4 linked regions of the Arabidopsis thaliana genome follow. The protein of the gene in region 1 interacts with the protein of each later gene in a biochemical or structural test. Each region holds a gene or a part of one and is shown in the gene's direction. Other genes may lie near its edges.

Region 1 (5,280 bases):
ATCATATTCAATCAACTTAGGAACTCAAATTAATATTGTCTAATTAACACAATGTCATCATCATATAGAGATTTGACTGCACTAATTAAGTTATCATGGACACTTTCTTTCTGAAAATTCTCATTTTCTCACTCAAATAATAATTTCATTCTATAAATAGATAATGAAATACACACACATCTATCATCCACCAAAAATATCATCCACCACTACCCACGAAGTAAGAAAATTACAGAGAAAACGGAATATCTTTTAAGTAGACCTTAGCCTTTTGCTTTATTCTCTTGCTTTATGTCTTTCTTGTTTCTGTAAATTCACATGTTACACTTAGAGGAGAGCGAGGTGTTGGTCCATTTTACCTTTTGCTATGATCAGATATAGAAGATAGCAAAAACATTAACTCAAGACAAGTTCACATGTTTGTAAAATTTTACGTAAATTTGTTTATTAATTGTGTTAGAAAAATGTTCACATGTTGCTACTATTGACTTGCCTCCATCATCTTCTTTGTCCCATTTGATGTACTCTTAGCCCCATGCCTCTTGGATGCCTTTTTTACCTTTTAATTTGTTCTTATATAATATAAAATATTAGCTACCCTTTTTTTTGTTATTCATGGAACAATTATTTGCATCAAATATAGTAATTTAATGGAATAATATCAAGAAGATCCCATTTATCTTTGTACCTTATTCTCCATGTGAACATATAAAGCTTGTTATCAGGTTATTTGTACATGTAATATCTAAGGGTGTTTACTGATGATGATCGGATAAACTCGAGGTTTGATTTAGTCAAATATAGTTCTTTTCTAACTAAAATCCCAACCTCACAATTTTGATGTTTTTCAGTAAATATGGTCATTAATAAGTTATGAATTCGCTAATTAATAGAAATTTATAAGAAAACATATATCCAACATTTATGGATATATGAAAAGTTAAAAACAAATGATATAAAAAGTACAATTTTATAGCTGGTGCACTGAAAAAGAAACAACTTTTCTTACCATTAAATCCAGGGAGAATGGTATCATTTTCAATTTTGAAAAAAAGCTAAGATTCGCCTAACTATTATTGTTTTCCTCTGAAAAGACTTTAAAAGTAATCTTTACCGTATAAAGTACAGAAAATGAAATGAACTCGTGGACTTCAATGTTTTCAATTTTCATGAGTCTTTTGTTTTCCTTCAATTTCCAAATAAACTTATATATATATACTAATCAATCAAAAACAATCCACTCAAAATGTGAAACTATACATGTAGAATACTTGATGTAACATGAACAAACAATCAAAATATTGTAGTTAAAAAAATTTACTGTTGATTTTGATCAGTAATATGTGTAATTAAAAAGTGATAAAAAGTCAAGTGGTTTAAAATTATCATAAGAGTAACATATGGACTATGGTTCAAATACTTTCATTGCAATAACAATTATGTATAGTTAGCTACTATATGAATGTCTTAATACATTGCAATAACTTACATTGGAGATTAGTCTATATACATTTATATATTAAAAAATTAGAGTTGTGATCTATATAGTTCTCTATGTTATCATTTTACATTTTCATAGTTGAACTAACTTTTTATTATTATTATGTTCACGATATCTATACTTTTGTGGTTTAAGCTTTTCTTAGTATTAACAATCAAGAACTACTATTTTATAAATACAATGGACAAGATTTTTTCTTCAAAACCACAAGAGAGAGTCATTTTCATTTTCTTCCTCATCTCTCTCTCTCTCTTCTCTCCAACCAAACATGGTCTCTCCACTCACACTCTTTCTCATCCTCTTCTTCTTCTTCCTTTCTTCTGCACTGTCTTCCTCCTCCTCAGAGCTCGACATTCTCCTCGATATCAAATCCTCTCTCGACCCTGAAAAACGTTTCCTCACTTCATGGACTCCCGACGCCGACCCTTGCTCCTCTGGCTCCTTCGACGGTGTCGCGTGCGACGGAAACCGCCGTGTTGCTAACATCTCTCTTCAAGGAATGGGTCTCACTGGAACTATCCCTCCTTCAATCGGTCTTCTCACAAGCTTAACCGGTTTATACCTTCACTTCAACTCCTTGACCGGTCATATTCCTAAAGATATCTCAAATCTGCCTCTCCTCACCGATTTATACCTCAATGTCAACAATCTCTCCGGTGAAATCCCTCCTCTAATCGGGAACTTAGACAATCTTCAAGGTCGGTCTATTTATGCATGTGTTCTTTGTTAACCTCACTCACTATAATTCATTTATTGCAGCTAAAACACCTTAAGCGGGTCAAATTTGGTTTATTAAAACTTAGCTAAAAAGAGTTTAGGTCTTGAATGGTGTAGATTTTAGTTTTTTTTTTTAATCATCCATTCAAGTTTTTAGATTTTTGAGTCTCCTAGAAACTAGGGATACTCTCTATTGTCTCCTTCATCTTTCACTCTTTTTTATGCAAAACTCAAAAACAATTTTATTTGGGGTTTTGAAACTAAAATGTAAAACTCAACAAAAATAAGGGCAAATATAATTGCATCTATATATTCATAACACTTTTTTTTTTTTTTTTGCAGTTATACAGTTATGTTACAACAAGTTAAGTGGAAGTATACCGACACAGTTTGGTTCTCTTAAGAAGATAACTGTCTTGGCTTTACAGTATAACCAACTCTCCGGCGCCATTCCGGCGAGTTTAGGCGATATTGATACGTTAACGAGGCTTGATTTGAGCTTCAACAACCTCTTTGGTCCTGTTCCGGTGAAACTCGCCGGTGCTCCTTTGCTTGAAGTTCTCGACATTCGTAATAACTCCTTCTCCGGCTTCGTTCCCTCTGGTAATAATTTATTTTCCCTCAAGATTCATAAATTCTTCAGATTCTAAACCGGTTCAGTGTTGACCAATCCGATTAAACAGAACCGGGAACCAATCCAAAACCGGATCGTGGAGAACTTAAACCATATCAATTCTAAACCGGTTTTTACAACCACATTAAAGATGTTTTGCTGACTTGTTTGTTTCTTGATTTTTATGAATTATGAAGCTTTGAAGAGGCTAAACAATGGATTCCAGTATTCAAACAATCACGGTTTATGCGGAGATGGTTTCACTGATTTGAAAGCTTGCACCGGCTTAAACGGTCCGAACCCTAACCGACCAGACCCAACAAACCCAACGAATTTCACAACAGTTGACGTGAAACCAGAATCAGCAGATTTACAACGAAGCAATTGCAGTAACAACAATGGCGGGTGTTCATCAAAATCCTTAAAGTCTTCACCTTTAGGAATCGTCATGGGTCTAATAGGATCAATCCTCGCAGTTGCAATCTTTGGCGGTTCAACATTCACATGGTACAGACGAAGGAAACAGAAGATTGGAAGCAGTCTTGATGCAATGGACGGTAGGATTAGTACTGAGTACAACTTCAAAGAAGTTTCTAGAAGAAAAAGCTCTTCTCCATTGATCAGCTTAGAGTACGCAAGTGGTTGGGATCCGTTAGGACGAGGACAGAGCAGTAACAACAACAGTGCATTGTCTCAAGAAGTCTTTGAGAGCTTTATGTTCAATCTTGAGGAGATTGAGAGAGCTACTCAGAGCTTCTCTGAGATTAACTTGTTGGGGAAGAGTAATGTCTCTTCAGTTTATAAAGGTATCCTTAGAGATGGTTCTGTTGCAGCTATCAAATGTATAGCTAAATCGAGCTGTAAATCCGATGAATCCGAGTTTCTCAAAGGGTTGAAGATGCTGACACTGTTGAAGCATGAGAATTTAGCGAGGTTGAGAGGATTCTGCTGCTCGAAAGGACGTGGAGAATGTTTCCTTATCTATGAGTTTGTTCCCAATGGTAATCTTTTGCAGTATCTTGATGTGAAGGATGAGACTGGAGAGGTTCTTGAATGGGCAACTCGAGTTTCCATCATAAACGGAATCGCCAGAGGTTGGATTCTGCTATTCATTCTTTCGTAAACTAAACTCGGTTTTTTGTATGTGAAATCTGATTTCTTTTTTTTCTTCCTTTCAGGGATTGTGTACTTGCATGGAGAAAATGGGAACAAACCTGCAATAGTTCACCAGAATCTATCTGCAGAGAAGATTCTCATTGATCACTGGTATAATCCTTCTCTTGCAGATTCCGGTCTTCACAAGCTTTTCACAGATGATATCGTTTTCTCGAAGCTCAAAGCAAGTGCGGCAATGGGATACTTAGCTCCTGAGTACATAACTACAGGGAGGTTCACTGATAAGAGCGATGTTTATGCATTTGGTATGATTCTGTTGCAGATACTGAGTGGTAAAAGCAAAATCAGCCATTTGATGATCTTACAAGCTGTAGAGTCAGGAAGACTGAATGAAGACTTCATGGATCCAAATCTTCGAAAGAACTTCCCGGAAGTAGAAGCGGCTCAGCTCGCTAGACTTGGTCTTCTCTGCACTCATGAATCCTCAAACCAAAGACCATCCATGGAAGATGTTATCCAAGAACTGAATAATCTCGCCGCGGATTATTAGTTTCCCGTTTAACATGATTCTTGCTTTTGATAGTCCAAGAATATAAAGCATACCAAGGTTTCAGACTATCACCATTCCCCTGATGTTAACTCTGTTTTAGGTTCAGTATAGGGGATCCGAAAAACTCGGTTCATGATGTAACAATCTTATCTCCTTGTAACTGTAGCTGATGTACTTAGGCTGTAAAAACAATCACTTTTCAGACGTTTTAAGTGATCTTGTGGGAAGTTTTTTTCCAGACATATCTTAGCTGCACAAAACCAACCATGTGACATTGTCTTCATGTATGCCAAGGAATTGCAGAATAGGTTTAAGCCCTTGAAAATATATTGCTGCACATTCGTTTTATCTACAATGTACTGGAAACTTCAATGCTATCTACAAAGAACTCATGGACTCTTCCATCGAGCTCAATCCAACTACAACCAGGAATTTTCTCTATCTTTCTTTCCTTCATCATCGTTCTAACTCTACGAACATCCTTCCACATTCCAAAACTAGCATACATGTTAGAGAGTAGCACATATGAGCTCGGGTTATATCCAGCCTGCAAAATAAGGTGTTTTGCGACAAGCTCTCCCGTTTCAAACTCCTTGTGGTGACTACAAGCGGTGAGAAACGTTCTCCATATGACATCATTTGGCTCAACAGGCATTTCCTCTATTAAGTTTTTGGCTAGCTCTATACTTCCGGATCTCGATAGTATGTCTACCATACAACCATAGTGTTGCAATCTTGGTTCTATCTTGTGTTTTCTCCTCATGAGCTCAAAGCAGAGAAGGC
Region 2 (4,896 bases), on another chromosome or scaffold:
CACAGTAGACGTTCTTTTGCTCCTATCTCTAGCAAGGCTGATGCTTTGCTCAGATGTCTCCTATGGGCTATGGAGAGTATGGCCAGTCATAAAATTGATAATATTATCTTTGCCTTTCAAGATAAGTCTCTGATTGGTGCAGTGTTGAGACCAAGGGCGTGGCCTTCTTTTAAAGCTCAGAGTGTGGCTTTAAATAGATCATAGTTACCTTTTTTGGTGTGGAAGGTGGAATTGGAATTTTCTGCTGCAAACAGAGGAGCAAACCTCATCGCCCAAAGTGTTACGGAGGCGTCTCGGTCTCAATCCTATGTGGCTGTGGGGCATCCTTATTGGATGAATGGTGTGTTTGTTGAAGAAAGAGGTTTGTATTCTGTTTGATAGTGAGAAGTCGTTTTGGTGTTGATGCTCAGTGTTTGAGATCAATGGTTTGTATATGGAGGGTTTGGCTTATGTGGTGCTCGATGGTTCAGAGCTTATTCTTTTTTGTTTAGACCACTTTTGAATATGTTGGAGTTGGGTCTTGTGGTAGGCTAACTTGTTCGCTTCACTTTGGTTTAGTTTAGCCTTGTAATCGGTGGTTTCATATTCTGAAACTTTTAATTTTCTAATATAATCCAGATGACAAAAAAAAAAGGTATTTTTGTGAGTACCCAACTTCAAACTTGACCTAAAAATAAAGTAATAAAAAAAGGAGCAAACAAAGAGGATAATCATCTAATTATTTGACTCAATAATATGCATAGATGTAAGACCTCAGTTTGGTTGCTAGAATAGCTCTGTGTTATTGAATATCGAATTTGTCATTTGCTACGAACTTGATCATGATAACCCTTACTTTTAAAGTTTTTCCTAACAGTAATTTTCCTCAGTTTATCAAAAACACCACCGTTAAATGGTAGGACTGGTCCAAATGATTATAGAACTTCCAATGAGAAAAAATATATGATATTTGACAATTATAATTTACTATCAATAAAAGTAAGTTTCTTTTTAGTTTATTATAATCATATATATTTCAGTTGTATTCAATTTTATAATGCTAAAAGCCTAAAACTATAAAACCGTTCCAAAATAAATAAATGAGAGTTTTGGAATTTTCATTATTTTTAAAAAGAAACAAATCTCAGTAAAAAAAAATACAAAAAAGAAAATATAATAAAGAAATGTAGATTTACGAACAGTGCAAATGCATTTTGTTAAAATGCTATTTCAGCAAATAAAGAAACTAAAATAAGATACTGGGCCTAGTTACACAAAAGAAAAAAGAAAATAATACTGGGCCTTAAAATCTATGATTTTTATATATCTGGGCCTGTAAATACAGAAAGATTGCGTCCTTTAACATTCTTTCCTTGGTCAGATGAAAAGGAAACAAATCATTTATTAACAAAACCAAGAAATGGGAAATAACAATAAAAGCACTTCCCTCGCTCAAGTCAATTTAATATTTCCAAAAAAAGCAATAAAATCTGCCGTTTCGTTTTTTCCTTTCTCATTCAATTCAAGAAGAAGAAGAAAATCTCCGCCCAAAAAGTTTCTTCCTTTGAAGTCTTTAAGCCCTAATCTATCACTGTCTGTGAATCAACGCCTCCCTGCGTTTGTTTCTCAGTTGAAAAAAAAAGATAATGATCGCAAAAAACTTCCTCCTTTTGCTCTGTTTCATTGCCTTGGTGAACGTTGAATCGAGCCCTGATGAGGCGGTCATGATAGCTCTGAGAGACTCCTTGAAGCTATCTGGAAATCCAAACTGGTCCGGGTCGGATCCTTGTAAGTGGTCTATGTTCATAAAATGCGACGCAAGCAATCGGGTCACCGCGATCCAAATCGGGGACAGAGGAATCTCAGGAAAGCTACCTCCTGATCTCGGAAAGCTAACATCTTTGACGAAGTTCGAGGTCATGAGGAACCGTTTAACAGGACCAATACCGAGTCTTGCTGGGTTGAAATCGTTGGTAACTGTGTATGCTAATGACAATGATTTCACTTCTGTCCCTGAGGATTTCTTCTCTGGTTTGAGTTCTCTTCAGCATGTTTCTCTGGATAACAATCCTTTTGATTCTTGGGTGATACCTCCGAGTTTGGAAAACGCGACTTCCCTTGTAGATTTCTCTGCTGTCAACTGCAATCTTTCCGGGAAGATCCCGGATTATCTCTTCGAGGGGAAAGATTTCTCTAGTTTGACGACTCTGAAACTGTCTTATAACTCGCTTGTATGTGAATTTCCCATGAATTTCTCCGACTCACGTGTTCAAGTTCTGATGCTTAACGGGCAAAAGGGAAGGGAGAAGCTTCATGGGTCAATTTCGTTTCTGCAAAAGATGACTTCTTTGACCAATGTTACGCTGCAAGGGAACAGCTTCTCCGGTCCTTTACCAGACTTTTCTGGTTTAGTCTCGTTGAAAAGTTTCAATGTTAGGGAGAATCAGCTTTCGGGTCTCGTTCCCTCTTCTTTGTTTGAGCTGCAATCTCTTTCTGATGTTGCTTTAGGTAATAACTTGCTTCAAGGACCAACTCCAAACTTCACGGCTCCTGACATTAAGCCTGATCTGAATGGTCTCAATAGTTTCTGCTTAGATACTCCAGGTACTTCTTGTGATCCCCGTGTCAACACGTTGCTTTCAATCGTTGAAGCCTTTGGTTACCCGGTGAATTTTGCGGAGAAATGGAAAGGAAATGATCCTTGTAGTGGATGGGTAGGGATCACTTGTACTGGAACTGATATCACAGTTATCAACTTCAAAAACTTGGGGCTCAACGGCACTATATCTCCACGATTTGCTGATTTTGCGTCTCTTCGTGTTATTAATCTCTCTCAGAATAATCTTAATGGTACTATTCCACAAGAGCTCGCTAAGTTGAGTAACTTGAAAACACTGGATGTTTCGAAGAATCGGTTGTGTGGTGAAGTACCTCGTTTTAACACAACTATTGTTAACACGACTGGGAATTTTGAGGACTGTCCTAATGGCAATGCTGGAAAGAAAGCATCTAGTAATGCTGGGAAAATTGTTGGTTCTGTTATTGGTATTTTGTTAGCTTTGCTTCTTATAGGGGTTGCTATTTTCTTTTTGGTCAAGAAAAAGATGCAATATCATAAGATGCATCCTCAACAACAATCTAGTGACCAAGATGCGTTCAAGATTACAATTGAGAATCTGTGTACTGGTGTTAGTGAAAGTGGATTCAGTGGTAATGACGCTCATCTAGGAGAAGCTGGAAATATTGTGATCTCAATACAAGTTTTGAGGGATGCTACATATAATTTCGATGAGAAGAATATACTTGGGAGAGGAGGATTTGGAATAGTTTACAAGGGAGAGTTGCATGATGGAACAAAGATTGCGGTTAAGAGAATGGAATCTTCGATTATAAGTGGAAAGGGTTTAGATGAGTTTAAATCAGAGATTGCTGTTCTTACTAGAGTTCGCCACCGAAATCTAGTGGTTCTTCATGGTTATTGCTTAGAAGGCAATGAGAGACTTCTTGTTTATCAGTACATGCCACAAGGGACATTAAGTAGGCATATTTTCTATTGGAAGGAAGAAGGGTTGAGGCCTCTCGAGTGGACTAGACGGTTGATTATTGCATTGGATGTGGCTAGAGGAGTTGAGTATTTGCATACTTTAGCACATCAAAGTTTCATACACAGAGATCTTAAACCTTCTAATATTCTTCTTGGAGATGACATGCATGCTAAAGTTGCTGATTTTGGTTTAGTCCGGCTTGCACCAGAAGGTACACAATCAATTGAGACCAAGATTGCTGGAACATTTGGTTATCTTGCACCAGAGTATGCAGGTATGGTTTTATGCTTATTTTGTATGTTGCTACTCGTTCTAAACTCACTAAATGTAAAATATTGAAATCTCTATGTACATTGCAGTGACCGGAAGAGTTACAACAAAGGTTGATGTTTACAGCTTTGGAGTCATCCTCATGGAGCTACTAACGGGTCGAAAAGCTCTTGATGTTGCACGATCTGAGGAAGAAGTACATCTTGCCACATGGTTTAGGAGAATGTTTATCAACAAAGGCTCATTCCCAAAGGCGATAGACGAAGCAATGGAGGTCAACGAAGAGACACTCAGAAGCATCAACATAGTAGCTGAGCTTGCCAATCAATGTAGCTCCAGGGAACCGCGAGATAGACCCGACATGAATCACGTTGTCAACGTGTTGGTCTCACTTGTTGTACAATGGAAACCCACAGAACGAAGCAGTGACTCGGAAGATATCTATGGAATTGATTACGACACTCCTCTTCCTCAACTTATTCTTGATTCGTGTTTTTTTGGAGATAATACTCTGACGAGCATACCTTCGCGACCTTCCGAGCTTGAAAGCACATTCAAATCAGGACAAGGGAGGTAAAATGTGTTAGAGAATTAGCTGGAACATGGAATGAGAAAGGTTTTGCTGTTGGATGAGTTCTTGTTTTAGGTTTGCGGATAGTGAATATATCTTGTTGGTTACCTTCCTTTTCAAGTTAGGGTGTCCTTTTCGCACGAATGGAACCCATATGCTTAAATTGGACACGTGTTTTGGTCTTTTGTCGTAGACTAGCTGGACACTTTCTAGATATTTAGAAGTTTAGGTTGGGCATTGGCATTGTCTCAAGAATTTATTTTGATTGATGTATCATTTGAGTCAAATGGTTTGACATATATAATTTTTTATTTTATAGTTTTCCCGAATTTCAACTGATTTCTTTTATGGTTTAAGACATTGTACATCACAATTTGTACATTTTTATTGTGCTTTACATCATATGCTACGTACATAAATGATCAGGCATCAAACTTTTTTTTTAGTTGTCTCCTACGAGTTGTCTCTACATGGAAACATTCAGGCCTTGTCTTATTTTTTAATACAGAAGAATGGAAAAAACACAACAAA
Region 3 (6,886 bases), on another chromosome or scaffold:
AGCTTTAAGAAGTCATGATAAGTCAAGAGTTTGGGCGGTATGATTAACCTCTTACGTTTTGCAGGTGGGGCGACATTGAATTTCCCATGCCATTTGGAAGAGTGATGAGTTCAACAGAGAGCTTCATCCACGGTCTAGATGAGAAGGTATCATACCAATAAGCGTAGAGTAATTGACGCTTCTGGAAACACCAGTTTCTCTATGACTTATGACCCTTTTGTATATGCAGACAAGTGCCTCTTTGAAGTTCACTGTTCTGAATCCCAAGGGAAGAATTTGGACTATGGTAGCTGGAGGAGGTGCAAGTGTCATCTATGCTGATACCGTATGTTTTTATATGAACACCGAGAATCTCCTGCATTTTTCTGCTTAGAAGCCTTAGCCTCTAAAGTGTTTACTGAAATGTTATCCAGGTTGGAGATCTCGGGTATGCATCTGAGCTTGGCAATTATGCTGAATACAGTGGAGCACCCAAAGAAGACGAGGTTTTGCAGTATGCCAGAGTTGTCATTGATGTAAGATGCTGCTTTAACTTCTGCCAATAAAGCATCTGAAAATAAAGTCACTCCTGACTTGGTCGTGGTGCTGAATGATAATACTGCTTCTTCAGTGTGCTACAGCGAATCCGGATGGAAAAAGCAGGGCTCTGGTAATTGGAGGTGGAATTGCTAACTTCACCGATGTTGCTGCTACCTTCAATGGCATAATCCGAGCTCTCAAGGAAAAAGTAAGCAAGAAGAGAGTAGAATCATCCACAAACACTTCATTGCCCCTTGACTACAAGTATAAATGAACCATGCTTTAACCGTTTACAGGAAGCAAAGCTGAAAGCAGCAAGGATGCATATATTTGTGAGGAGAGGAGGACCAAACTACCAAAAGGGACTTGCTAAAATGAGATCACTTGGAGACGAAATCGGTGTCCCCATCGAGGTATGTAGACACACAATGAATAAACTCAAGACATTCCCGCTTAATCAGTTTCTAACTGTTTTTACATGTCTGTTTGATTTCAAGGTGTATGGTCCTGAAGCAACAATGACAGGTATATGCAAGGAGGCAATCCAGTACATCACAGCGGCTGCATAAGCCTTTACAATCTTATCACTTACTTTCAAAATACTCTTTAGCGTCTCTTGAGTTTGAGACGTGTTTGGATTATGTTTCACTTCTAATGTATCTTACTATTCATAAATAAAGAACAAGTATCTTCTTTTTTCTTACTTGGTATTTTCTCTTTTGATTCTCATCTTCTTCTTGACTTAGATCAGAAGAAAACGTATTTAATCAACTTTTATCTAGCAACTCCAAAAATTCTACTAGGAAATAACGATATGGAATCAGAAGCATTTAAGCCTTTTACACACGATGCAAGCAATTTGCTGAAGTGGATATCGACAGTCATAGACATGTCCATTTTTAGACTTGGCTATTCAAAAATTTGGACCATTTTTCTATTAATCAGGGCCCGTTTTTAGTGATAGCTCTGGATATTTTCATTGAGCTGGGCCTTTTCTGGTCATGGAAAGAGATTGCAATATCTATTTAGCCATCCCAAGTGGGCAAAACATAATCTACGCTTACAAAATTTGTGTAAACGAATTCGTCTACGCTTACATTTTTGTGTAGTAAAGAGAAGTATTATGTTATCCTTTAATCAAAAACTCAAAAAGGGGTAAAATAATTGAAGCCTGAAAAAGCCAACAAGATAGGAGACAGGCCATGAACGTGATCTGCCCATCAAAAAAAACTTTTTTTTTTTCTCGGTAACTTTTTCTAAAAAGCAAAATATTAAAATAAGAGAGAGATGTCCTTGTTCTTATGTTTTTTCTTTTATCATCTATGTGACCCATCTCTTCAATCTAATCACATTTTTGTATATTAAAGTGTTTTCTTGAAACATTTGTCCGAAAGCAGAAAATAAAAAGGATTCAAACTGAAATCATGAAAACATAAACAAAAAAAATGTACTATTCTTTTTACCTCACAGTAATTTTGTTTTATATAAAAAGCTTATAAATTAACAAAACTTATAAAAAAGTGAGAAAAACAGAGAGTCTCTTCTTTTCTTGTTATTCTGTCAGTATCTTTCTGTGTGTGTTTGTGGATTTTTTGGCATTTTCATTTTGGATTTTGCTTGTTTGGTCCCTTTCTTTTCATGATTATTATTTTTAAATTCCTTTTTTATATTGGTGGTGTGAATGATAAGAGTAGGCAGATGAGAGATTAGATGATTTGGTAATAGTGGTGTGGAATTAGAAGCAAACCTTTTTTGAAAAAATTAAGAATGTTATAGAGATTAGTTATTCAATAACAACTACTACCAAAGTCATAAAAATGATATAAAATATAAACCAAGAAGCACTATTAGTATCACTCATCACTCAATAGCTTTTTTTTTTTCAGATCTCTAGGAAAATTTCTCAGACTTTCAGAGCATTTTGGTGCTTTTGTTTTGCTTGGTTTCTCGGGAAAATTCTCTTCACACTTTTAGAGTTTTCTCTCTCTTCTCTATCTCTTGTCACAGCTCGTTTAGCATTCATTCTCTTAATCGTTTCTTCATTCAAAAATTCTCTCTTTCTAAGCTGAGTAACTTGCAAGTCGTCATTTTTCAATTGGGGTCTTCTCCTTTTTACTTCCTTTGAATTGAAATCACAGAGAAAGAGAGGTTCCATTGCTGGAAAATGGATTGCTCAAATTAGTTTCTGTGTCTAAATAAAGACAGAGAAGAAGAAAAGTAGACAAAAGCTAAGTTTTTTTTTCAGATATGGGAGAGAGAAAAATGAGTTGGTGGGTTCTTTGAAACTTGTTTTTGTTCAGACCAAAGTTGATTGCTTTAAGAAGGGATATGGAAGGTGTGAGATTTGTGGTGTGGAGATTAGGATTTCTGGTTTTTGTATGGTTCTTTGATATCTCTTCTGCTACACTTTCTCCTACTGGTGTAAACTATGAAGGTTAGTCTTTTTCTTCTTGGAGAAATCTCAATTTTTTTCTCTATGAATTTATCATCTTTGGTTTTGTCTATTTTGTTTAGTTGTTCCGAAAATTCTGGTGAATGTTTGTGTGGATTAGGTTCTTTTTTGTTTCTTTATTGGATAATAAATATCACAGCTTTAAATGCTCACCAGACTCATATAACCTTAGCCAATAGCAGCTCAAGTTTACTTCATTCTCTGTGAAACTATACTGCATATAAGCTTACTGGGTTTTTCTTGGATAAGATTTCAATTTCGAAAAATGCAGCTTTAGCAATAAGATAATTCATAGGAGTTTTGAGGCTAGATTTGTTCTTTCAATCTGAAGTTTCTTTCTTTTTGTTTGTCTGAAATGAGCAGTGACAGCTTTGGTTGCTGTGAAGAATGAATTGAATGATCCGTACAAAGTTCTTGAGAATTGGGATGTGAATTCAGTTGATCCTTGTAGCTGGAGAATGGTTTCTTGCACTGATGGCTATGTCTCTTCACTGTGAGTCTTCTCTTCTCTTCTCGTATATTAGATTAAAAAAACCAGATAGATCTTTAAGACTTGTCTTGTTTTCTTAATGAAACAGGGATCTTCCTAGCCAAAGCTTGTCTGGTACATTGTCTCCTAGAATCGGAAACCTCACCTATTTACAATCAGTGTAAGATTTTTCTAGTCTTTGCTATATGTGATTCTTGTTCTCTGTTTTGCTTCTTGTTGAGCTTAATGTTTTGTTGTTTAGGGTGTTGCAAAACAATGCAATCACTGGTCCAATTCCGGAAACGATTGGGAGGTTGGAGAAGCTTCAGTCACTTGATCTTTCGAACAATTCATTCACCGGGGAGATACCGGCCTCACTTGGAGAACTCAAGAACTTGAATTACTTGTGAGTGCTCCTTTACGGTTTCACAATGATTCTTTTGTTGCATGTTTATAAAATTCCAATTCAATTCTGAGTGGTCTGTTGTTCTGTTCTTGTCATTTTCATTTTCAGGCGGTTAAACAATAACAGTCTTATAGGAACTTGCCCTGAGTCTCTATCCAAGATTGAGGGACTCACTCTAGTGTAAGTCTCTAAATCCTGCTTTTTCTATTGTTCACAGTGGAAAAACATACATTGGGAGAATATTTATTTACTTACTTTTTACTGATTCTTAATGTGCAGCGACATTTCGTATAACAATCTTAGTGGTTCGCTGCCAAAAGTTTCTGCCAGAACTTTCAAGTAAGCTTTACTAAACTTATACAAGAACTTATCTTTCCGTTGAAGCTGAAACTAAGATTCAGCGTTGGGCTTCTTAAACTGAAGGGTAATTGGTAATGCGTTAATCTGTGGCCCAAAAGCTGTTTCAAACTGTTCTGCTGTTCCCGAGCCTCTCACGCTTCCACAAGATGGTCCAGGTATTAGGCATCTGCTTCTCATAGCTCCCTATTCTTCTTCTGCGTCAATGTATCTCATCACTTCCATCTTTGGTTCTTCTTTCTGTTTTAGATGAATCAGGAACTCGTACCAATGGCCATCACGTTGCTCTTGCATTTGCCGCAAGCTTCAGTGCAGCATTTTTTGTTTTCTTTACAAGCGGAATGTTTCTTTGGTGGAGATATCGCCGTAACAAGCAAATATTTTTTGACGTTAATGGTTAGTATCTTGAAATACTATCGGCTTCACATCATTTTGTGCAGAGCAAAACTGACACTTGCATCTTGATGATTAATATTTTGCAGAACAATATGATCCAGAAGTGAGTTTAGGGCACTTGAAGAGGTATACATTCAAAGAGCTTAGATCTGCCACCAATCATTTCAACTCGAAGAACATTCTCGGAAGAGGCGGATACGGGATTGTGTACAAAGGACACTTAAACGATGGAACTTTGGTGGCTGTCAAACGTCTCAAGGACTGTAACATTGCGGGTGGAGAAGTCCAGTTTCAGACAGAAGTAGAGACTATAAGTTTGGCTCTTCATCGCAATCTCCTCCGGCTCCGCGGTTTCTGTAGTAGCAACCAGGAGAGAATTTTAGTCTACCCTTACATGCCAAATGGGAGTGTCGCATCACGCTTAAAAGGTAATGCAGTTTCCAAAAAAACTGCTAATTTCTTCATGCTCTTTTGCAAGTTTTTAATAGTTCCATCTTGCTACATTTTTTGTTTAGATAATATCCGTGGAGAGCCAGCATTAGACTGGTCGAGAAGGAAGAAGATAGCGGTTGGGACAGCGAGAGGACTAGTTTACCTACACGAGCAATGTGACCCGAAGATTATACACCGCGATGTGAAAGCAGCTAACATTCTGTTAGATGAGGACTTCGAAGCAGTTGTTGGTGATTTTGGGTTAGCTAAGCTTCTAGACCATAGAGACTCTCATGTCACAACTGCAGTCCGTGGAACTGTTGGCCACATTGCACCTGAGTACTTATCCACGGGTCAGTCCTCAGAGAAGACTGATGTCTTTGGCTTTGGCATACTTCTCCTTGAGCTCATTACTGGTCAGAAAGCTCTTGATTTTGGCAGATCCGCACACCAGAAAGGTGTAATGCTTGACTGGGTAAGTCTCTTTTCTCTGTTTCTTGTTTCACTTTCTAGAATCTTGAAGCTATTGTTCATAATTGTGGTTTGGTTCGGTTCAGTCTTGTTTGATAGAAAACTTAAACCAAAACAAAATATAAATTAGCCGTGATTTTGGCTAAATTTTGGTTCTGTTTTTGTGCTTGATAAAAGACTCAGTTTGGTTTTCTGTTATCTTTGATTTGAATTCGGTATAGTTTGAAGACTAAACTGTTATTTTGGATTCGGTTTGGTTCTGTTTTTGTGCTTGATCTGGAATTGGTTTGGTTTGGTTTATTGGTCTGAGAAATGAGATTGTTAAAAATGGCAGGTGAAGAAGCTGCACCAAGAAGGGAAACTAAAGCAGTTAATAGACAAAGATCTAAATGACAAGTTCGATAGAGTAGAACTCGAAGAAATCGTTCAAGTTGCGCTACTCTGCACTCAATTCAATCCATCTCATCGACCGAAAATGTCAGAAGTTATGAAGATGCTTGAAGGTGACGGTTTGGCTGAGAGATGGGAAGCGACGCAGAACGGTACTGGTGAGCATCAGCCACCGCCATTGCCACCGGGGATGGTGAGTTCTTCGCCGCGTGTGAGGTATTACTCGGATTATATTCAGGAATCGTCTCTTGTAGTAGAAGCCATTGAGCTCTCGGGTCCTCGATGATTATGACTCACTGTTTTTAAAAAATTTCTTTTCTTGGGTTTGTTTTTTATTTGTCGTTTTATAATGTTGATATAGATGTGAAGTTGAGTGTGTAATTTTTATGTAAAGAAAAAATATGAAATGCAAAAGAAAATGTTGATTAGCCTGCCACATTACTCAATATTTGAATTTTCAAAGTGAGGTAAGAATTTTGGATGGCATATAAATCAAACCGAACTGAAAGTTTTTGAATCGAAATGAACCGAATTGTAAGCTAAACGTAATTTCAATACCGAATAAACTGAATTGAATACATCAAGTTTCAGGACTACAAAATAATTTTGTAACATGTATATAAAAAAAACATTTGCATGTATAACTTTTTGTAATTCTTAAATAAAATTAAATTTGTTTAAACTATGTTATCTCCAATGCAAAACCGAAACAAATCTAAGATTTTCAAACTGACCTAAACCAAAACCAAAACAAAATCGAAAAGGTTCAAACTAATTACTAACCGAAAGAAAATTCTGATATAGTTTTTCTAAAACCGAAAAACCTAAAACCTTGAACCGAGTAAACCGGAAAACAAAATTCCTAAACATATATTCATCACTTAACCAAATTAAAGATTCCAAACCGAAATAATTCGGTATAAAGAGAATCGAACTCTATTCGGTCAACGTGTAATGAAGCATTAAACTTCGCCTCAGACACACTATACAAAAC
Region 4 (6,245 bases), on another chromosome or scaffold:
AAAAGAACACGTAAGGAAACGAAATCAAGAACACAACAAACATTAGAAGGCATGTCTAGATGAAAGTAAATAGGCAAATAAAGTTTGTCTGGCTGAGGAAACTACACAGTAGAAACCCCAAGCCAGTATGGGGTAAATAAGAACATACTGCATCCGATGCATCTTTAGCAGATCTAAACCGTCTAGACCTCTGTTGATTCATTTTAGCTCTTGGAGCAACACCATCTAAGACCCAAATATATAAAAAGTATTAAGCTTTAAGCATACTATTCTAAAACTTAATGTTGGCTGATAAAGAATACTTACCAATAGCCATATAGAGTAACTTCCTTGGCCGTACCATCACGAAAAGCCTATCAATGTAATCAAACATACACTGAAACACCTCCTCAAAGGTAGTTGGAGATGGCTGCAACAACAAACATAGTCGTCAAGTAAAGAAAGAGCTAACAGAAACATTCTACACGTGCATACTCACACAAAGATCAAATTTTTACAACAAAGAACCAATTTTTAAATAAGGATGAACCAAATTTGAAAACCCTAATGTCTCAAATAAAACATTCAACAGTGAATGAATCCAAAAATCGAAAGGAAACGCTACCCTATCTTCGGGGTGAAAGCAAGGATGGATAATCCCGTTCATGTCGAGATAAAGATTATCGTATTCGAGGTTGTTAGGGTTAGGTTTACTAGTATCCACAGGAATCTTGATGCCTTCGATTTCAACAGGCTCTTCCTCGATAACATCCGCCACTAAAAGAGGATACTTCTCGGCCAACCATCGGTAAAACGACGGTACACCCATTCTTCACCGATGTCGAAGATATATATCTCCGGCGACACAAAGGAACAAGAAAGTAAAAAACCAACGGTGTTTGCCGACGGCGGTTAAGGTCACGAAGTGCACATTTATTGGGTTTTTTCCTAATGGATGAGAAAGCAAAAATCGGATTAATGAAACAGTAATCGGGCTTAAGACAAACCAAAATATGGGCTTTGTCGGAAGCCCATTTATCAAAAAATAAAATAAAAAGAAACTCCGTTGCCGGGACTCGAACCCGGGTCTCTCGGGTGAGAGCCGAGTATCCTGACCAGCTAGACTACAACGGATTTGTGTTCGATTTCTTAGCTCAAATTATATGACACTTAACAAGATTTGAATCAAAGAAAAGAGAACACGAAGGACTTGTTGTACTTGATTAAACTAGTCTCTTTCGGCTTTATGTCTAGTTCTTGTGGTCCATCTATTCCGGCAGAAATTATGATTCTTGGATTAAAATATCCTTTTGTTTAATCTTTCTTTGTGAGATTAGTGGTATAATAAGTCTTTGTTATACATTTTTCTTATAATCTATTTGTCTACATTATCCATATGTCTCATAGTGACTAATAGTACTGTAAATAAAACAATTTTGTTATAAAATTATAAATTCCCCTTTTGCTTTGCATGAACTATGGGTGAACCAGGAACCTTAACTAATAACCAGGAACCTTAACATAGAATGAAAAACATTTTGATTAGTGGATTTCGATTTTTAGAAAGAGTAAGCTTTGAATATTGAAAATCATAATAATTCATAATCTAACCATATATGAGATGCTATGAATATCCTTTTAGTGAGAAATATGTACGATTTGGTAGTTTCTGATTTACCAGCCATGAGAGATGCAGAGTTGGTCGTAACATTTGTCACAAGATTGGTAGCTACGAACATAATGCAGATACTGTCATACACGCACATGTATACTTACATACACAAAACCATATTGCATGTAAGATATTTTCTCATAGTGTTTTGATGATATTTACGTTGCTTGGTGAGACATGATCAATGAATTTAATCTACATCTTGTAGATATAAGCACTAGGTAACCATTTTTTAATAATCAAATACATCTTTATATAATTTACTTTTGGGGAACAACAAAAATTCACACCATCCCAAGAGTTCCATATAGTGGAATCCAAAACGATGTCGTTACACTCTCCCTCCTTTACGCTCCTCTCTTATATTATAGACGAAACACTAATTCTTCTCTGCAAATAAAAATCTTTCCTTTCTCCACTCTAATGGCCGCAACGGTCATTTTCTTCCTTCACTTCGCCGCAATCTTCTTCTCCAGATTCCACCACACCTCCGCCATCTCATCAGAGACTCAAGCACTCACATCTTTCAAACTCTCTCTCCACGACCCTCTAGGAGCTCTCGAGTCCTGGAATCAATCATCTCCATCAGCTCCATGCGACTGGCACGGCGTTTCTTGCTTCTCCGGCCGTGTCCGTGAGCTTCGTCTTCCTCGTCTCCACCTCACCGGCCACCTCAGTCCTCGACTCGGTGAGTTGACTCAGCTCCGTAAACTAAGTCTTCACACCAACGACATAAACGGCGCCGTTCCTTCGTCTCTCTCTCGTTGTGTCTTCCTTAGAGCTCTTTATCTTCACTACAACTCCTTCTCCGGCGATTTTCCACCGGAGATACTGAATCTACGAAACCTCCAGGTCCTCAACGCTGCTCACAACTCACTCACCGGAAATCTATCCGACGTCACAGTCTCGAAGAGCCTTCGTTACGTCGATTTGTCTTCCAATGCAATATCCGGTAAGATTCCGGCGAATTTCTCAGCGGATTCATCTCTCCAGCTCATCAACCTCTCGTTCAACCACTTCTCCGGTGAGATCCCGGCTACATTGGGACAACTACAAGACCTCGAGTATCTCTGGCTAGACTCAAACCAATTACAAGGCACAATACCATCCGCATTAGCCAACTGTTCATCGCTTATACACTTCAGCGTAACCGGTAATCACCTCACCGGTTTAATTCCGGTTACTTTAGGCACGATTCGAAGCCTGCAGGTGATTTCATTATCGGAGAATTCATTTACCGGTACAGTTCCGGTTAGTCTTCTATGTGGTTATTCAGGTTACAATTCCTCCATGCGAATCATTCAATTAGGAGTTAATAACTTCACGGGAATAGCTAAGCCGTCAAATGCAGCTTGCGTGAACCCTAATTTGGAGATTCTCGACATTCACGAGAATCGCATTAATGGCGATTTTCCCGCGTGGTTGACTGATTTGACCTCTTTAGTGGTTTTGGATATTTCTGGAAACGGTTTCTCCGGTGGTGTTACGGCTAAAGTTGGGAACTTGATGGCGCTTCAGGAGCTGAGAGTAGCTAACAATTCACTTGTTGGAGAAATTCCGACGAGTATCCGTAATTGCAAATCGTTAAGAGTCGTTGATTTCGAAGGAAACAAGTTCTCGGGTCAGATTCCGGGTTTTCTAAGTCAGTTACGGAGCCTGACAACGATATCTCTTGGAAGAAACGGGTTCTCGGGTCGGATTCCATCGGATCTTCTCAGCTTGTACGGACTCGAGACATTGAATCTCAATGAAAATCATCTCACCGGAGCAATACCGTCGGAGATAACAAAGCTAGCTAATCTTACCATCCTTAATCTCAGTTTCAACAGATTCTCCGGCGAAGTTCCGTCCAATGTGGGTGATCTGAAAAGCTTGAGTGTTCTCAACATAAGTGGATGCGGGTTAACGGGTCGGATACCGGTTAGCATTAGCGGATTAATGAAGCTTCAGGTTTTGGATATAAGTAAACAGAGAATCTCTGGTCAGTTACCAGTCGAACTATTTGGTTTACCGGATCTTCAAGTGGTTGCTCTTGGAAACAACTTGCTCGGCGGCGTCGTACCGGAAGGTTTCAGCAGCTTGGTTAGTCTTAAGTACTTAAATCTCAGTTCCAACTTATTCTCCGGACATATCCCAAAGAACTATGGATTTCTCAAGTCATTACAAGTGCTTTCGTTGTCTCACAATCGAATATCCGGTACAATCCCGCCGGAGATTGGGAATTGTTCCAGTCTTGAGGTTCTTGAGCTTGGTTCTAATAGTTTAAAGGGTCACATTCCGGTTTACGTTTCCAAGTTGTCTCTTTTGAAGAAGCTTGATTTGAGTCACAACAGTTTAACAGGGAGTATTCCGGATCAGATTTCTAAGGATTCTTCTCTAGAATCTCTCCTGCTTAATTCGAATTCTCTATCGGGTCGAATACCGGAATCTTTATCAAGATTGACGAATCTAACCGCGTTGGATCTTTCGTCGAACAGATTGAATTCCACTATACCATCAAGTCTCTCTCGGCTTCGTTTCTTGAACTATTTCAACTTATCAAGAAACAGTTTGGAAGGGGAGATTCCAGAAGCTCTAGCTGCGCGTTTCACTAACCCGACCGTCTTTGTCAAGAACCCGGGACTCTGCGGTAAACCGCTTGGTATAGAATGTCCAAACGTTCGAAGGAGAAGAAGAAGAAAGCTAATTCTACTAGTGACACTAGCAGTGGCTGGAGCTTTGTTGCTGTTACTCTGTTGTTGTGGTTATGTGTTCAGTTTATGGAAATGGCGGAACAAACTAAGATTGGGCTTGAGTCGGGACAAGAAAGGGACCCCCTCACGTACATCTAGAGCGAGTTCTGGTGGGACAAGAGGAGAAGACAACAATGGTGGACCTAAACTTGTGATGTTCAACAACAAGATCACGTTAGCTGAAACCTTAGAAGCCACAAGACAATTTGACGAAGAGAACGTATTGAGCAGAGGAAGGTATGGGTTGGTCTTCAAGGCGACGTTTAGAGATGGGATGGTTCTATCGGTTCGTAGACTAATGGATGGTGCTTCGATAACCGATGCAACGTTCCGTAACCAAGCTGAGGCTTTAGGTAGAGTGAAGCACAAGAACATCACGGTCTTGAGAGGTTATTACTGCGGACCACCTGATCTAAGACTTCTTGTTTACGACTACATGCCCAACGGAAACCTCGCTACGCTTTTGCAAGAAGCCTCTCACCAAGACGGACATGTCTTGAACTGGCCAATGCGTCATCTCATTGCTCTTGGAATCGCTAGAGGACTGTCCTTCTTGCATTCTTTATCAATCATTCACGGCGATCTTAAACCGCAAAACGTACTCTTCGACGCTGACTTTGAAGCGCATTTGTCAGAATTCGGGTTAGATAGATTGACAGCGTTGACTCCAGCTGAAGAACCATCCACTTCATCCACTCCCGTCGGGTCTTTAGGCTACATTGCACCGGAAGCGGGTTTAACGGGTGAAACAAGTAAAGAGAGCGACGTGTACAGCTTCGGGATCGTGTTGTTAGAGATCTTAACGGGGAAAAAGGCAGTGATGTTTACAGAGGATGAAGATATAGTGAAATGGGTGAAGAGACAGTTACAAAAAGGTCAGATCGTTGAGTTGCTTGAACCGGGTTTGTTGGAGCTTGACCCGGAAAGTTCGGAGTGGGAAGAGTTCTTGTTAGGGATCAAAGTTGGGTTGTTGTGTACTGGAGGAGACGTCGTTGATCGTCCGTCTATGGCTGATGTTGTTTTCATGCTCGAAGGGTGTAGAGTCGGTCCGGCGATTTCCTTGTCCGCCGATCCTACTTCACCTACTTCTCCCGCCGCAACCGCCGTTTCTTGAAATTGCTGTTTTCTTATTACAATCATTTTATTTCTTTTTCCTTTATTTTTTTTCCTTTGTGGATAATTTATGTTGACTTTCATTGTGTTGTATCTTGTCACGGGTACGACAATCAAATTTTAAGTTGCCAAATTTATTGAATTTCCCACGGTGGAATGAACAATCACTTCAATGTGTTGTTGTTAACTTGTTATCTTGGGTTTTAGAACAATTTTTTCCGGGATTCTCGTTCAACAAAAAATCATATTATAACGAATATATATTTGTCGGGTCCAGCATATTATTATTAGTCATGTAGACTAAAATAGTGTGTTGACGTTGAGGTTTAGACCCTATGGCGCCGTTATGGTAAGCATTGCGTAAACTATCTACCGAGCTTTAGTAGACAATGTTCCGTGATTTGGTCAGTGGGGTTAATACTTAATAGTACATGTGTGGGGTTTTCAACATTGTCGTTGTTCTGTTTTAGTTCCCGCCAAATACGTTAGGACAAGTGGGTGTGTGACACGTGTTGGTCTTCATAGGGAGATGAAAGTAGCCGTTGATATTATTTATTGGATTTTTGTGTTTGGGGAAAAGTGAAGTTAAGCCGTCAGAGGACGAAAAGCTTTTTTAAGCAGAGCCTGTTGTTGTCTGAAACCCCAGTCCACGTTGGATTTCTTACTGTTTAGCCAGTGTACTTTGTTTCTTTGGCCTTTTTTATTAATTATTACTTCTCTTTCATTTATTTAACTTTTAATGTTTGGTT

The links.
Region 2: the proteins of AT2G45340 (region 1) and AT1G24650 form a complex in vitro, tested with the Arabidopsis thaliana proteins (one large-scale study listed by BioGRID).
Region 3: the proteins of AT2G45340 (region 1) and NIK3 form a complex in vitro, tested with the Arabidopsis thaliana proteins (one large-scale study listed by BioGRID).
Region 4: the proteins of AT2G45340 (region 1) and AT1G75640 form a complex in vitro, tested with the Arabidopsis thaliana proteins (one large-scale study listed by BioGRID).

The regions. Positions count from the first base shown.
Region 1 is NC_003071.7:18,689,970-18,695,249, forward strand, and holds AT2G45340 (Leucine-rich repeat protein kinase family protein), read left to right. Parts: upstream 1-1,694; 5' UTR 1,695-1,769; coding exon 1,770-2,199; intron 2,200-2,560; coding exon 2,561-2,821; intron 2,822-3,028; coding exon 3,029-3,925; intron 3,926-4,009; coding exon 4,010-4,497; 3' UTR 4,498-4,756; downstream 4,757-5,280. Other genes in the region: CRR4 (Pentatricopeptide repeat (PPR) superfamily protein), read right to left, coding at 4,847-5,280.
Region 2 is NC_003070.9:8,732,945-8,737,840, forward strand, and holds AT1G24650 (Leucine-rich repeat protein kinase family protein), read left to right. Parts: upstream 1-1,625; coding exon 1,626-3,798; intron 3,799-3,883; coding exon 3,884-4,371; downstream 4,372-4,896. UniProt on the Arabidopsis thaliana protein: Involved in auxin signal transduction and cell expansion and proliferation regulation.
Region 3 is NC_003070.9:22,382,893-22,389,778, reverse strand, and holds NIK3 (NSP-interacting kinase 3), read left to right. Parts: upstream 1-2,012; 5' UTR 2,013-2,847; coding exon 2,848-2,953; intron 2,954-3,077; exon of another isoform or gene 3,078-3,334; coding exon 3,335-3,464; intron 3,465-3,549; coding exon 3,550-3,621; intron 3,622-3,702; coding exon 3,703-3,846; intron 3,847-3,954; coding exon 3,955-4,026; intron 4,027-4,125; coding exon 4,126-4,185; intron 4,186-4,269; coding exon 4,270-4,361; intron 4,362-4,452; coding exon 4,453-4,599; intron 4,600-4,685; coding exon 4,686-5,027; intron 5,028-5,114; coding exon 5,115-5,506; intron 5,507-5,836; coding exon 5,837-6,178; 3' UTR 6,179-6,386; downstream 6,387-6,886. Other genes in the region: ACLA-2 (ATP-citrate lyase A-2), read left to right, coding at 65-146, 230-325, 414-515, 611-727, 816-932, 1,017-1,088.
Region 4 is NC_003070.9:28,402,852-28,409,096, reverse strand, and holds AT1G75640 (Leucine-rich receptor-like protein kinase family protein), read left to right. Parts: upstream 1-1,914; 5' UTR 1,915-2,074; coding exon 2,075-5,497; 3' UTR 5,498-5,726; downstream 5,727-6,245. Other genes in the region: XRN3 (5'-3' exoribonuclease 3), read right to left, coding at 149-225, 307-409, 605-808.